2 linked regions of the Nothobranchius furzeri genome follow. The protein of the gene in region 1 purifies or fractionates together with the protein of each later gene. This does not show direct contact. Links are inferred from orthologs where the notes say so. Each region holds a gene or a part of one and is shown on either strand. Other genes may lie near its edges.

Region 1 (8,291 bases):
ATACATACACATTAAACACAGATAAAAGCTGTCATAAAATAGAAACACCTAAAAACAATACAAATGTATAAAACAGCCAATAAAAGAGAAGTCAATAAAAACAGAAGTCAGTAAAACAGAAGAGTCACAGCATAAAAGACCGATCATTGACCAAAAGCCAAATTAAAAATATGTCTTCAGGCTGGATTTAAACTGTGCCAGTGAAGAAGCCTGGTGTACCACCAGAGGAAGTGCGTTCCAAAGTCTTGGAGCTGCAAAGGCGAACGCACGCTGATTCTAAGTGTGGCCTCTTAAGAATGGGCTTTAGTCGGGCAAGGCGACGAAGCTGGAAGAAGCAGGATCGAACAGAGTATATATATATATATATATATATATATATATATATATATATATATATATATATAGCCATATATATATGGTCCATTCGGCTGTTGGTGTCACAGAACCGGCGCACTTCCCTAGGTGCTCCACTCGTACATTTTGCAACAGAACACCACTGGTGTGAGAGGTTCTCCACTCCTTAATATCAGTGGAGAAACAGCCCGCTGCTATCACTTAAACTTTAGCACAAATTACCAGAGTCCCAAAAAGAAAAACACATTTGAAGTCATGGACAACAAAGGACATTTGGACTCTGAAAATGGCAACTGGTGTTTCTCATCTCATTTCTTCTGGCAACATGGGTTTCCAGTTCCAACAGAAGTGTCTCAGGGAATATACCCAAGGGGAGTGTCACGTGACTGTTAGCATTCAAATTCTAGCTTGCTTGCAGATTTATTATAACAGCTTTAAATTAGGAGAATAACACAAAGCCAACTGGACTTTGGCTCTCAACTTAAAAGCTTTTTTTTATTCAAACCAAAGTGTGTGAAATTCCAAGCATTTAAATGTGTCATTAAAACATGAATCTTTAATAAGACAGAAAAAAATACACAAGAAAGCATCATTTCCTATGAACATGAAAGTTTGAGGACTTCTTTACACAAATTAAGATTGAGATATAAGTGTAAAACAATAACTCACTTGTTTCAGTGTTGCTATGTATCGTGTGATGTATTCCACTGTGACTGGGTCCTCAACCGTTAGCCTGTGGCTCTGGCACTCAACCCGAGCTCTGTTTATCACGATACGGGCATCTGCCGTCAGACCTAAAACCAAAATGTAAACATTGGCAAAAGGCAAATGAAAATTAAAAGATTTCCAACTGACAAATGATTGCATATAATATGTTTTAAGTAGAAGTTATTTTTTTTTTGCCGTTTCAATAATGACTTGTTTTTGGTACCTGCAAATGCCATGCAGACGTGTTCATCCAGGGCACATATCTTACGAACAGTCCTTTCCTCCTGCAACTTTGCCACAGATTTCTTCTCCACACCGAGGACAACAATGTCTTTACCCCTGATTCCCACCTAAACAGAATGAAATAATTGAATTTTACATTTGACAAATATACATTTGGATTAATTTACAGCAACACAAAATACTCTAAATAAACATGATTGTTAAATTAAGGCCTTGTTGTAATGAATAAATCACTATGCAGCTTAATTTAATTAAATCTAAAGTTTTATTAAGCCAAGTAGTTTTCTATTTAAGCCATGCTTATTTAGAGGGTCTGCCTCTCCTATTGCAAATGTAAAAGTGCTCATCAAGAATATGTTTTGTGCATCGACACAGCTTCAACTGAACCCCAATTGAAAAGGTTATTATTAGATGCCGTGCACTTCCAACAAAAGCCACTAAGTTACACTGTAACAGCATTGATACTTTAATAGTCAGGTATGGTGTCGCTACAGTGTCAAGTTTGAGCTACTTTATGCTAGCAAAACAGATCCTTACAAAAACACAGAAAAGCAATGATTTTGTTCACTTATAACCTTTAATCCGTAGCCTAACTTTGTTTCTACTAATTCAATCGACACCGTGAATCTATTTCTCCGTACCGCTGAAACTTGACAATAGCGGATCAAAACTGAAAGTAATTGAGTGACACAGCGACTAAATGCTAGCCATGGCGTGCGCTTTTCCCCTTCGTTAACTTTATATTAAGCGTTAACAAAATTATACACTTACAGTCTAAAACTATAAACAGGTCACAAAAAGTTAAGCTTGTTAAATTGAGGAAATAAAATGAATACATCATCTAAAGAGCTAGTAGCTGCCCGCTAGCGGTTAGCTAGCCACGTTAGCTTTTGCATTATTTTCATTTAAAGACGTACCGCTGTAGAGCCTTTCTTTACAGCTTCTTGTGCATACTCCACTTGAAACAGGTGGCCGTCGGGAGAAAAGACAGTGATAGCTCTATCATATCTTGCCGCCATTGCACTGCAAGACAATCCCAATCAAACGAATAAAGGAAACAGAGCAACCTCAACCAGATGATTCAGCTAGTTAGCAAATAGCCGCTCACTCGTTTTGCGTTCACAAATCAGCGCATGCGCGTAACCTTTAAACTGCGATGTACCAAAAGTGGGTCCCGCATTTCCGCCAAAGAAAAATTGTGATAAAAACACGAGTTTGATGATAATTGTGCTGTTAAAAATAGATATGGAAGAAATATGTTAAATAAAAAAAATACTAAATACGCATTATTTCTTGCTTTCCAGTGTGAAATATGGGTGTATATAAAATGCTATTTGTATTACTTATCAATTCGTTTATATCATAATTATCGCTGTTATTCTTTTTTCCCCTCTTTTTGCTGTGTAGTTCCTGCTGCCCCGTGGTGTTTCAGTCTAGCTGCAGACTGTTCCATTATATGAAAAATAGGTGGAATCGTAATTCTGTGAAGCAGTAAAAATGCGTTTTTGACGACAATATGACATATTTTCTTGACAATTTTCTCACTAGATTTAATACGAACTTCGATATTTAGTAAATAATCGAGTTAAGTGACAGTAAAAGACTTAACGTTAAAATTCCCTGATATCTCCCCACCCCTAAACGGGCCACTGCATTATGAAATTACACCGTATTCAGAGCTGCTGTGTGATTAACAGTTCTACCGATTTGTTTTGCTTGTGAGCTAATTTAAGCTTTTATGCTTTAGTTTGCTTTCGTTTGTAATATTATCACCATGTCGGTGGCATTTGCACCTCACAGGCAACGGAAGGGTGATATAACACCCGCTGGGATACAAAAGGTAATTCATCTTTTTAGCGCGGCGCATTATGGAGGCTGTGCTAGCGAAGGCTGCTAACCGTTGATTGCTAATGTAGCAGTGCCAGTCCAAGTCCAACTGTGGGCAGATTGGAAACAATGCTATGCGGTCTAAGCGCGGTCAATATGAACCTCCCTAAATCCAGACGCCATGTGTTCATGGTGAACTTTATGTCGATTGCTAGATGAATGGAGGCCCTCGGTTTGATTAGCAGAAGATAGCTAGCCTGCAAGTCGCGTCTTTTGTTAGCTAGAAACGCACGCTCACATTAACAAAACACCCCCCTTTGTTGTCAAGTTTAAACAAAAAACTCTACACTAACCTCGCGAAATAATACAACGTCACACATTTTAGAAAAATAAGCCCTAATGTTATCAGAAGTGACACCAATGTGACCAAAACACCTGCATTTACTTTTGTAGTTACTTGATGAAAACAACCAGCTGATCCAGTGTATAATGGACTTCCAGAGTAAAGGCAAAACGGCAGAATGTTCACAGTGAGTTCTGTTTTTTTTACATATATCTTTATTTTTTCAGTAATTGTATGTGCGATGTTAATTACCTTCAATTTACCCAGGTATCAACAGATGCTGCACAGAAATTTAGTGTATCTGGCCACGATAGCAGACTCAAATCAGAACGTGAACGTGCAGTCTCTCCTCCCTGCTGTGAGTACTGGTTCTGATTGATCGTTTAGTGAGTGTTATAACTAATATCCTTTTAAATAGCTGAATTTATACAGCAGATGAGCTCCTCCATGACTCACACAATGCATGTCTTATTTTGAAACTTTTATTTATTTATTTTTTACTTTGAAACAGTGCTTGTTTTTTGTCTTTTTATTTTATTCATCAGGGTATAATTGCACTAATAACTCCCACTTACTGGCTGTAAAGGGTTGTTGCTTGTTAACATTATCACATCACTTTTTAGAAAGTGGTGAACATGTTTGCAGCAGAATACTTTTAATGTGTACTGTTAAGTACTACACTGCATACACAATGTTCACTGAAGCAGCTAAAATTGTTTTTGCTTGTTTTGTTGCAAAATGACTAAATACCACTAATGCAAAATTGGCTAAAAAATACTATCCAACTTCTAGGATTTTTACTTCGATTTTGTATTCTAATCAATTAGATTTCATTTAAGCGCATTCTTAACGTTTCGACAGATGAATTAGAATTGAATTGCATTTTTTCTGTGTCATGTCCTTGTTTCTCAGGCGCAGGTGTGTTTTTAGACATCTGATGTGTATTTTTGTCTTATGTCTCATTCTCCTACAGCCACCCACTCAAAACATGCCCATGGGCCCTGGTGGAATGAACCAAAGTGGACCCTCTCCTCAGCCCCCACATGGTCACAACATGCCATCTGAGGGTATGGTCAGCGGTGGCCCTCCAGCCCCTCATATGCAGAATCAGATGAATGGACAGATGCCTGGTAATTCATTATCTAAATCCCCTGTTCCTTGTCTTTCTCTGTTTTCTCATTCTCCTTCCATCAGTTTCTGTCTTGCTTGTGTTGCCTAGCAACAGCACAGGACTAAGGGAGGTCCTTTTTTGCTGAAGGATGATGTCACCCTTTTGTCTGCTATGGTGGTCTTGGACTTACTCTCTTTTATTCTGGTTATGCTTTACTGACGCACCATAGTTTATGAATGCATTGAATTGGGGATTATTTTATGACTATATCATTTAAAGCAGATATTTGTTTCACATGGAATCTACTGGCCTGTCCTATAGCAACTTAAAAATGTAGTGGATCTCCATCAGTGAGTCTACTTCAGCGCACAAAAAAAAACATTTATATTTTAACTTTTGTTATCTAACATGTATTGTTCACTGATGTTTTTCAGGACCTAATCACATGCCCATGCAAGGTCCTGGTCCAGGACCCAACCAGCCTCCAAACATGCCCAGTGGCTCAATGAACATGCCTCCCAGCAGCCATGGCTCCATGGGTGGCTACAATCACGCAGTTCCTTCTTCCCAAGGCATGCCAGCTCAGAATCAAATGAACATGACCCAAGGCCAACCTATGGGAAACTACGGTCCTCGACCAAACATGAACATGCAGCCCAATCAAGGTGAAACGAGGCATTCCCATTTTTTATAGTCAATTACTGGTTAGATTTACAATGAAAGGAATTTATTAAACACTGATAAAAACCATTTTAAATTATTATTTCGGATTATAATCGGTCACTCTGAGTCTGTCACCTACACCTATCTCCTGGACTAACTTATGATAGAAAATAGACGGTGAAACTCTAGGATTTGAAAAGCCTGACAGATCTACATCACACTGCCACTTAACATTCATGGACTCTCTCATCTTGGCTTGTGACGAGGAAGGCCGTTGTTGGTTAGGTTTGGCGTTTAAGAAACGGCAGAGAACATCTCGACTGGTAGAAGCTAACCATTAGCATTAGCAACTCTGCCACATGGCAGAACTACTCTAGGCATTTGTTATTTGTGGAGATGAAACATAAAAGTTGCAGAGCAAACTGAGTCAGTGTTAGAATTGCTTTGCTGTTAACCAAGTAGAAACGAGATGTCCAAAAATCAGGAAATAAGTCTCCAAAACCTGCCATCTGAAGCTACTTTCTCCTCCAGCTTCCTGGTTCAGACGCATCTGGGTCCTCCTCCCACTCCCAGAGTATGACTTACTTAAGACATTCATTCCTAGTAGAGACCACTGCAAATGTATTGAACAAGAGTTCAACACGTTTAAGTCACTGTGGGGCATGGTTGTGTTCGACAGGTCCGGTGATGCATCAGCAGCCTCCATCGCAGCAGTACAACATGCCCCCTGGTGGTGGTGGACAGCACTACCAAGGCCAACAGACCCCAATGGGTATGATGGGTCAGGTCAACCAAGGGAACCACGTCATGGGGCAGAGGCCAATGCCGCCCTACAGACCTCCACAGCAAGGTAAACCACTCAGTGTGTCAGTTCCACATCCAAGCAGAGTGTCGGTCTTCCTTCTCCTTTTCCCTCCTGTGTTTCTCACTCTTGTTCCTCCCAGTCTGTTTCTATTTCATCTTCTGTAGACTGCAGACAACTTGTTCAGTAACGGTTTAATCCAAAATCCCGTGTAAAATTAGTTGTGACAAAGGGAAAGCTCCTTTAAGATGAACTAGAAGCAAGGAGTCTATCCCCTCTACCCTCTCCTCCCCCCTTACACAGCAACAGCACCTTGAATCTACATGTGTGTATGTTGTATGTAGGACCCCCCCAGCAGTATCCAGGGCAGGAAGACTACTATGGCGACCAGTACAGTCACGCAGGACAGGGCGCCTCAGAAGGTAGGAGAACCCTGCAAGTCACTTGGGAGAACACAGACAATCAGTCAACCCAGGAGTTGAGTCAAAACACAAAAACGATGCTTCGACTAGGGTTGTCACGGTAACCGGTGTAGCGGTAAACCCTGGTAAAAAGTTGACAATAATAATAACCGTCTTGTTTTTAAAAAAAAAACGATATTATCTCGGTGGATTACCGTGGCTGTGGTGTAGGCGCGGTGACCCTTACCAGCCACCGTATCATCTGCTGAAGTTGCTGGCGGCACATGCGCGCTTTGTTGTTTACAACCAAAACTTTCTTGAAGCTAAAGCTGAAATAATGGTCAAAGGAGGAGACGGCAGCGCTCAGGAGGACATTTTTTATCCCTCAAAGAAGACAAAGTGGGAAGTACGGGCATCTTTTGGATATTTGAAGAATGCCGAGGGACAGTTGATAGAAGACGGCTATCCTGTTTGCAGCACGTGCAGAAAAAGTGTCTGTGAAAGGCAGCAACGCTTCAAATCTCATGACACATCTGCGTGACCATCTCCCGCAACTCTACAGTCAACGCAAGGCAAGCTAACGTTAGCGTTTTAGCTAGAATGCGTGATCCGAGGATTTGGGTTGAGGGAGAATGCAACGAGTCGCTATACAAAGCAGCCGCAGCGCCGCTACCTGCATATAAACCGTGTCACGGACACCCCATGTTGAAATGACGCTATGCATTACAGGGCTCCCAGGGGCAGATAAGAGTTGGTCTCTCTCCGAGAATAATTAAGAATTTAACAATGATTACTGCCTGATGACATTTTCCCACATCTGCAAAGCTCACTGGAAGGACACAAACCGAGGACAATATTTTCCTGATATACGGTTTATTACTCAAGTAAGGGTAAAAAAGTATCTGATTAGAAGGCTACTTGAGTACTGAGTATCATCTGATCTAATATTTTTAAAATGATGACATCAAACAGACAAAATAAGAAGATATGGGCAAATATTGGTATTTTAAAGACTAAAGGGGAAATATGTAAACAAATAAACAACATAATTACAAAATAACACATTTTAAGCAAAATTTAGACAAACTGAGGACAATATCTCCTGATATACAGGGTTTATTAAATTGTGTGAAAATGTAGCACGTTTAAAAAAAAATACCGCGATAATACCGAAAACCATGGTAATTTTGGTCACAATAACCGTGAGGTTAAATTTTCACACCATGACAACCCTAGCTTCGACAAAGCAAAACATTTCAGTTTCTGCAATGCATTCTGGGGATTTTAGGCTCTAGATGGCTCATACTTATTTTACATGCTACTTTGTTAATTTTTTCAGTTTTTGCAATACAGTCTGCATGTTCATTTTCTGTAAGCAATTATAAGTCCAGGTTTACTGACAAATATTGAAAAAGCAGCACAAACTACCATCTAGCGTAACTGTCTTGTTACAGTGTCATGAGACGGTTACAGTAGATGTCTCGTGACGCTAAAACATTTGCAGTTTGATCTGTTCAATTCACTGACTTGGTAAAAGTACAAAACTCTTCCTCTTTGTCTTGTTAACATTTACTTTTGTGGTTTTGTTTTTCTTCTAATAACCCTTTTCCTCCCTATGAACTTTCAAACATGGAGCTTATTTTTTCTAACAAGAAAACAAATATCTAAAGTGTGGGTGTGTACAATCTGCCACCAAGTCATGTTTGTTCACTTTTAACTCAAAATAAACTAAAGTAATTATGTCTAGACTTAGAAAAGTGCTGATCCGTTTCTGTCTGTTTTAGTGAGAGAATTAGTTTAGAATTTCAGACCGTAGTTTTATGGTTTTATTTAAAATAT
Region 2 (8,055 bases), on another chromosome or scaffold:
GACTCCCCCAGGTGGGGGATGCAGGGCTGGCTGAAGGCTGACTGCAGGGCTCAGTCCCTCCACCTGACTCACCATGGTCAGAGAGTTCTGGATGGGCATGCCCTGTATCACTGTGGGGGCATGACCTGAGGCAGCAGGGGTCTGCGTCTGGCTTTGACTTTGTGCCAGAGAGGCCACAGGCATCTGGAAGAGGGTAGGTGTGCCCATCTGGCCGGGCTGGAGCTGAATGGGTCCAGAGAGGATGTGGGCAGCCCCAGCGTGGCCCTGTGATGTCAACACCTGACCCAAATTAATGTTCTGGTTTGCTGTTAGAATCTGGTTTGCAATGAGCTGTCCACCTGGACCTTGACTGGTTATGATGTGGCCACCAGGATGCTGGGTTAGGATCTGCCCACCTGCCTGTAGCTGGGGCAGGAGGAACTGGTGGTTCTGACCTTGGAGAACCGTTTGAGAGGGAATAACGATGCTGCCTTGTTGGTTTAACAAATGCACACTGAGGGGTTTGCCGGACGGCTGTGCAGCATGTTGCTTGAATAGAGTTTGTTGGAACTGGGGGCCCTGTGTTGCAGCCCGAGTGCTCAACACAACATTAGAACCTGGTTTTCCTGTTAGGAAGGCCACATTCTGAGCAGCAGAAACTGGAATTTGTTGAAGCCCAAGAGCCTTATGGGCATCATTTTGCATGGCCTGGGGAGCTGCTTGTTGGGGCTGCGACTGTTGTTGTGGTTTGAAGAGTTTACTATGAATGGCTCCCCCCTGTGCGGGTTTGGGCTGAATGGGTGTTGGTGTACGCTGGATGATCACGTTCTGCATGATCTGGCCCGGATTTTGCGTTTGTGGTGCCACCCCTGCACTCAGAGGGGTACTTCCAAAGCCGACAAGCCCAGCGGGAGCGGTAATGGTACCACTACCGCTGCTGCTTGTGCTGCTGACACAAACAGCCGGTCCATTTAAAGCTGGAGATCCCAAAGTCGCTTTGTTGCCTTGGATTAGAAGTCCACCTCCCGAGGCTCCAAGTCCTGCCTGAGAACCAGCAGCTGATACCTCCGAACCTGACTGGTGCAGCTGGTATCCACTCATGGCTTTAGCCAAGACTGGCTGCCCAGACTGATTGATAGTCATCACGGTAGGCTGGCCCACAACCTGAATCTGTCCGATACCCAAATGTCCCGACTGACTCCCGTTGGAGAGAGCCTGGAGACTTGAAATGGGCTGAAGAGTCACGTTTCCCAGGCCCACAGGCTGCATAAATGGCTGAACGCTAATAGCTTTGTTCATAACCTGGGACTGGAGCTGAAGGCCCTGCTGAGCGAGCACTGAACCAAGCATGTCAGCTGTGGCGTTGGGGGGAGTAGCCGTGGTGCTCGGGGCAGACCCGGGAAAAATCGTCGCAGCTCCACCGACGCCAATGCCTACACCAACAGGTGTGCCTCCAGCTCCAGCGAGGCTGGCATCAGGCAGTGCCTGAACCACCTGTGCAAGGCCTGGAATTCCAAAGGTATCCAGGTCCAGCTCGGCACCTGCCTCCTGCAGGCTTTGCTCTGTGATGTTGGCCTCAGCCAAACTCTGCTGCAAGATGTCGCATGTCTCGTGATTTGTCCCAATGCCATTGCTACCACCTTCTCCACCTGGAGATCCACCCAAGATGTCATCATCCTCAAGGAAGTCCAGGTCAACGCTGACTCTCGGCAGGCCTGCTGATTCGCTGGCCGACAGCTGGACTGCAGGCTGGACCTCTGGAACATGTCCCTTTAAAAAAGAAAAAGTGAAACCAGACATGATAGCGAGGAACATGACTGATTGGAAACAAAAACAAAAGCCCAATAAAACATCTCGTACAATTGCAGCGAATTATAGCATGTTGACTGTAGATCTGTTAGTGGAAAAGGGAGGGATTTAGGGAAGCATGCAACAAAGATGGATGGACAACAGCAGGAAAAAAAAGTGGGGGGCTTTACTCACCCCAGTGGCAGAGAAGAACGAGCTGGAGGGGTCACTCGAACCATCCAAAAGGTCGTCAGTGTCCAACTACAGACACACCCACCAAGGGTAAGACAGACAGAAACCAAAGACACCCAAACCAGCAGGCAAAAAAGTCACCAGGACAAACATACAGACCATCAAAACAGAGGGAGGGCAAGGCAAGGGCAGAACATGGTTCAGAGAACCCAGAACGTAAAGCATCAGTAAAGAGATAAGCTACAGAGGAACAAAATGACAGGAATAACTCAAGAGTTGGGAAACGTTAGTAATAGGAATTATTGTTCTGGCAACCCAAATGCAACCATTAGGCAGAGGAGTTATAAAAAGTTTAATGAGAGCAGTGAGGGATGCAGGTTACAGGGTGTATCAACTTGTGAGCCGAAACTGATTTTATTAGAGATGCAAAAGCAACAAAGATAAAACCTGAACAAGTCACTCATCAGTGGAGAACTTGTATCGTGAAGCTTTGCTAAATGCGGCCATTTGTTAGCCCTTCTCATACTTACATGGGTCTCAGATCCATGAAGAAAGTCATTAAGAGCTTCTGGGTCGCTGATGGAGAAAACAACAGATGTGTGACACAATGACACATAACCGAACAATCTGATATAAAATTTCCTACAATACTAGAATCAGGTCTTTCACGCTGTCAGAACATACTTACCAAATTACATCTAGAAGGCACCTGCCGTCTTCATCATCCATGACAACTGTTGAGATGAAAAACACCTTCAAGCTCGGTCATGACTTGTTCAACAATCACAACCAAAATACTCAGTTACATTTTGTATAACATGGTTATTAAGAATTACATGGGGTTTGTCTTAGGTTTAACTTCATAATTATTCTTGACTTTCTCAAACCACATGCTGACTAAATTTTAAACGACATTTTCATATTTACTCCAGCAAAACTCGAGCCATTAAAGACATGTAGATGCAAGATAAAGACTGACTTTCAAAAAGTCTTGAGCCACCGATACAGGCATTTAAACAATCCAAGCGAATAATTACAAATATTGTTAAGTGGCAGTTTTTTGCAGTAAGAGATGGCATGGCACACACCCCAAAAACATCCGGGTAATTATTCAGTAATCATCTGTGTCTTCTTTTGAAGAAAGAGTTCTTTAGTGGAAGTGAGTCTTTCCCTTTAGACATAGGTTTTTTTATTTCCTCCCTGATGGTAAAAAGCTATGAGAAGTCTCCATAGGCCAGCAACAAACTCTTTCTGACTTATGAATAAATGTTTGACAGCAAGAAACGTTCAAAACAATGAAAAAATGTATTCATATACTTTATACACAAATTTTTTCTTTGGAAAAAAATCTTAAAGACCACTCAATGCTATCAGGCATTTAGTTTATATTAAAAACTATGAATCAACATAGAAAGTAATTCTGAGTTCCTAAAAAACGAAAACTGTCTAACCTAGCGTTTGATTATCAATATCAATTACAAAGCGAGATTTTTCCCCATGTACGCTCGGTATCAAACAACCTTGGTGCGGCCCTGAACTCATCGAGACACGTAACAAAACTTAAAATTTCTGAACACGATCAAACAGCAGACAACAAACTGAAAACGCGCGGTTTTCGCACCGCCTGGAAAGATTTTGAGCGTAAGCTGTCGCTGACTTTTAACCGTGCACAGCTCGTCCAACAACACGAAAACCAAACCAACACAGTTTCTATGCAAATAAATTGTGGACATGATGCAGGAGTCCCAGCTGTCCGCCGATCGCAGCTCGGTTACAGAAAACCAGTGCGCAGGATATGAATGGAGACGCTGCAAACGGAATGCTAGATGCTAGCTGATGTTTTTAATGAGCTTTGCATGCATACCTCAACAAATTCCCCCAACGTACAGTATCTGACAGCAACACAGCTGACCTACGACTCAAATGTTTGAAATTAAAACAGTTTCATCCGTAATTTCAGCAATTTGGGTGCTTTTGGGTTGACTTTCGTTAGCCTAGCAAGCTACCCCCGCTATCAACAATATTCAGACGTATAGCTAGCTCGAGCCTTTGACATTCAAAACAAACCAGAGTGACACAATTTTAACACAAATTACGCACAGCGGCAGTCCGGTTGAGCTAAAACGAAGAAATGCTGTCTGCTTATAGTCGTAAACGCAACTACGTGGCGAGCTATTGCTAATTGCAAGCAGAATATCAGTAAATGTTGGAATACTCTTGGATGAGAGGGGGTATGCTTGGGAATTCGTTGGAAAACGAGCCTGTTTACGGTGTGATGCGGCAGTGTGTCGCTTCTTTTGCGGTAGCAGTGCGGTTCGTGTCTGCTGAACAGTTAGCAGATATCGCAGCTTTGTAGCGGATATTGGGATTAATGGAGAAATTGTTACATTGTAACAAACTCACCCGAGACGTTAGAGGTGCAGGCAGCGCGGGGTCTCCAGGACAGCCTCGCACGGGCTGCTCAACAGGACCCAACTACTGGCAGGAAACGGCAGACTTCCGCTCTGCCTGATTGAAATCCATGTTGTTTATCGAGACTTTCTTTACACACAAATACCCATTCGGAACATTAAACGGTTTTTGAACATTTTTGTTGTGTTAATTAGTGCATTCTTAAATTTGACATATTCTTCATGTTAACTTGTTTTCATTTTTAAAACTCAAAAAACATCAATAGAAAGGCAGGAACAGCAGAGGAAGCCTGTGGGGAGAAATTGCTTAAAATGAAATCATAAAAGAAACTGGATCACAAATGTAAAAAAATATAAAAGCAGTCATGTTAACAAATGCCAGCAGATTTGTTAGATAAATGCAACCCAGTCTTGAACTGCAATCAGATTATATGATTTTGGCTAAGAAAAGAACAAACTAATCTACAAAAAGCCTAAGCAAAATACTGTAACATAATCTACAAGAAAACATTCCTTTTCCATATTTTAAATAATTTTTGTATAGTTCTAAAATACGTGATTATTTTTGTAAATTTTAAAAAGGTATTTGAATGTTTGACTCATGTAGTTACCTACCACAACCCATAGCCCTAAAATATGTTTGTCATGTATTTTTCAACAAAATATTTTACACACATTTAATTCACTGTGCTATAATGCAAAGCCTGGAAAACCACTTAACATAGTTGTTATCTATTATTTATGTTAAAATTGTAAAGATTTCAGCTGACAAACAGTTTCATTATGATGCTAACCCATTTTGATTAAAAATGTCTCTTTATAATGGAACTGGCATTGACTAAAGGAAAGCATTTTCTTATTATAATTCTAATCAATATTCCTTTAAAACTGCACTTTTGAAGATATTTACGCTATTACGTTTTATTACAACATTTATGCTTAAATATTGTCACCTTTAATGTCTGATTGCTTATAGAAAAATAATTGGCTGTTGAAAACAGATAACACAAGGGAACTGTTTTATATAGATTGTCATGAACGCACTGTAATGATCCTGAGACAGATTAGAAGCGATTCCTTTGTTTCTACAGCAAATATTAACAACGAACATGTTTCTTAATTAAATTATCGATTGATATATTGTGTTGCAGCATGGTCTACAATCAGTTTATAACATGAAACATTATAGATTTGTAATGGACCAACTCTGGACCGTACGAGCAGCACCTGAAGGCAGCAGGGCTGTGACCGCCCTCCCATTGTCACGTGACAGAGAAAGCGCTGGCTGCTGATGTGACACTGCTGTTAGCAATACTTAGCAACTTTGTTGACTTTAGTATTTTTTCGCCCCCCTTTAGATTCAGAAAAACAAGTAAAGCAGAATGGATAACAGTGGGAAAGAAAAAGAAGCTACAGCTTTAATGGCGGAGGCGGAGAAGAAAGTTAAATCATCTCAGTCGTTTTTCGGGTCGCTGTTTGGGTGAGTTTTAGTTAGCTGATGTTTAGCTTCTGCTTTCAAGCTGAGGGCCAGCTATGCGGAAGGTGACCACCTAACACCAGGGCTGATGGCTGGGCACAACAGGACTGGAGCTGCTGTTAAGATGTTGTGGTATTGAGAGTATTTGTCTACGGACGTAAGGTTATTTCCCCGGATTTCTGCTGACCATAACGTCTGCAAACAACAAAGACTAACACGTAGCCGTTTATCCCAGTAAACTGAGAAAAATTACACTGAACAAACCGTTGTTTGACATGGACGATAACAGAATACTAAATTCGTTTTTATTTAAGTATGACTGTAAAAAAATATTTTTTTAAAAAGTGTGATCACATTAGCTCTGCTGTAGCACCATCTGCTGGCTGTTCCGTATTGTGCAAATCGTCACAATGTTTACAGTAGAAACCTCAAAGTTGTATCAAATCTAATGAAAATTATTTATTGATATTTGCCTTTTGCCATAAAAATGTTGGTGCGGAAATATTGTCATTATTGGACAACAATCTCAACAGATGAAATACTATCTACTATTTTTATTTTGAAAAGTAATTACTTATTATCCAGTCTTGTTTATTGCATTTACACGATCCTAACCTGCTAATAACCAGTATCTTATAGTTGTTGTTTTTTTACACGTTTTTTCTTTCACACAGGAGCTCCTCCAAGCTGGAAGAGGCCTGTGATCTGTATGTGAGGGCAGCCAACATGTACAAAATGGCCAAAAACTGGTGTGGTAAGAGGACAGTTACTTTCCCTTCCTTGTGCATATCTGTTGATATGTTTTATCTTTTAATTTGTGTTTTCTTTTCAGCTGCAGGAAATGCGTTTGCTCAGGCTGCTCATCTTCACCTGCAAATGCAGAGTAAACACGATGCAGCAACTAATCTCATAGATGCTGGAAATGCCTTCAAAAAAGCAGATCCACAAGGTAAGAGGTCACTCAATTTTACATGGAGCTCTTTGTAAAAGGTTTTAAAATCTGGAAGGAAATACATTTTTGGACTTTTTAAAATTAACTTCATATAAAGTGCAGCCAATCTAATTAATACCTGGTTTGGCAGCAAGTTTGATCCCATGACTGTGTACACTTATCTACAGTCTTTAGTTTACCCCATACTAGCTTAGTTCCAAGCATCTTGTGTGTCTGAAATTTAGCTGTCTTCTATAGACTTACCCCTGATCGAGACTCTTTATTTTTAAAACTAAGGGTAGTTTTTATACATGCAGATTTTGAACAACATCAATGCCTGTTTGCAGCAGTTTATTTGTGCCTGTGCAGGTGGCACAACTCAAAACTAAATGTGATATAAGTAAGATGAAACGTCAAAGACAAATACCAGGAATTCTTGAGCAGTCAGAAATGTTAAACTCCTCAACCTGTGCAGAAGTTTCTGGGTAAGCCTGATTCTGATGTTTAGGGTAAATGTTTCCTACAGAAGTGCATTTAAAGACCAAGTTCACTGAGAAACTTTTTTTTACTTATTATTATGTAAATATGATTGGAAGCTCTGAGTTTTGTGTACAGGCTGAACGTGAAAAAAGTCTTCTACCCATATTTCCTGCATTAGTCGCCCATAGAAAATAGATGGGGAAATGTTTGAGTTAGAAAGTACAGTCAGCTCTACATCAAGCTGTGAATTAACATTCATGGACTCGCCCATCTTGGCTCACGACGGGGGAAGGCTGTTGTTGGTTTAGCACCCAGAAAAGAGCAGAGCTAGTAGACACTAACTGTTAGCATGAGCAACTCCACAACATAGCAGAACTCCTTTAGGCTTGTGTTATTTGAGGAGATAACATATCAGTGTTGCAGAACAGTCAGTGGTAGAGTTGTGTTAATGTTAGTCAATCAGAGGTGAGATGTCCGAACATCAGGAATTCTGCTCACTTCTGCTTCCTGAAACAGGAGCATGAGATGTTGTTTCACAAGCCATTCATGCATTCTAGAGATCACTGCAGATGTATTGAGAAAATGAGTGAACTTTGTCTAAAGTCTGTTTTCTGCAGTGGAAAGAAATTTCCTTTTACTTATTTCTTGTCATTCACTGAACTGATGTTTTTCTCTCAACAGAGGCCATAAACTGCCTAAACCGAGCTATTGAAATATACACGGATATGGTGAGGTTTTTAATACAAATCCCCCTCCTAAGCTATTATAGTTTTATTGATTTGTGTTTTTAATTTTGT

The links. The genes of interacting proteins can lie anywhere in the genome.
Region 2: the proteins of ss18 (region 1) and bicra purify together in Homo sapiens (affinity purification with mass spectrometry; 3 studies listed by BioGRID and IntAct, counting the BioPlex papers as one, with this or other methods). This does not show direct contact. The link is inferred for Nothobranchius furzeri from reciprocal best matches to the Homo sapiens genes SS18 and BICRA.

Annotation. Positions count from the first base shown.
Region 1 is NC_091751.1:52,436,611-52,444,901, forward strand, and holds the start of ss18 (protein SSXT), read left to right. Parts: upstream 1-2,959; 5' UTR 2,960-3,079; coding exon 3,080-3,145; intron 3,146-3,585; coding exon 3,586-3,662; intron 3,663-3,742; coding exon 3,743-3,833; intron 3,834-4,448; coding exon 4,449-4,605; intron 4,606-5,020; coding exon 5,021-5,251; intron 5,252-5,928; coding exon 5,929-6,099; intron 6,100-6,395; coding exon 6,396-6,473; intron 6,474-8,291. Other genes in the region: psma8 (proteasome subunit alpha-type 8), read right to left, coding at 1,024-1,148, 1,286-1,412, 2,223-2,324. UniProt on the Homo sapiens protein: Appears to function synergistically with RBM14 as a transcriptional coactivator. Isoform 1 and isoform 2 function in nuclear receptor coactivation. Isoform 1 and isoform 2 function in general transcriptional coactivation.
Region 2 is NC_091753.1:46,786,267-46,794,321, forward strand, and holds the start of bicra (BRD4-interacting chromatin-remodeling complex-associated protein), read right to left. Parts: upstream 4,431-8,055; 5' UTR 4,363-4,430; intron 2,694-4,362; 5' UTR 2,689-2,693; coding exon 2,648-2,688; intron 2,536-2,647; coding exon 2,490-2,535; intron 2,029-2,489; coding exon 1,963-2,028; intron 1,750-1,962; coding exon 1-1,749. Other genes in the region: napab (N-ethylmaleimide-sensitive factor attachment protein, alpha b), read left to right, coding at 5,753-5,850, 6,522-6,796, 7,940-7,986. UniProt on the Homo sapiens protein: Component of SWI/SNF chromatin remodeling subcomplex GBAF that carries out key enzymatic activities, changing chromatin structure by altering DNA-histone contacts within a nucleosome in an ATP-dependent manner.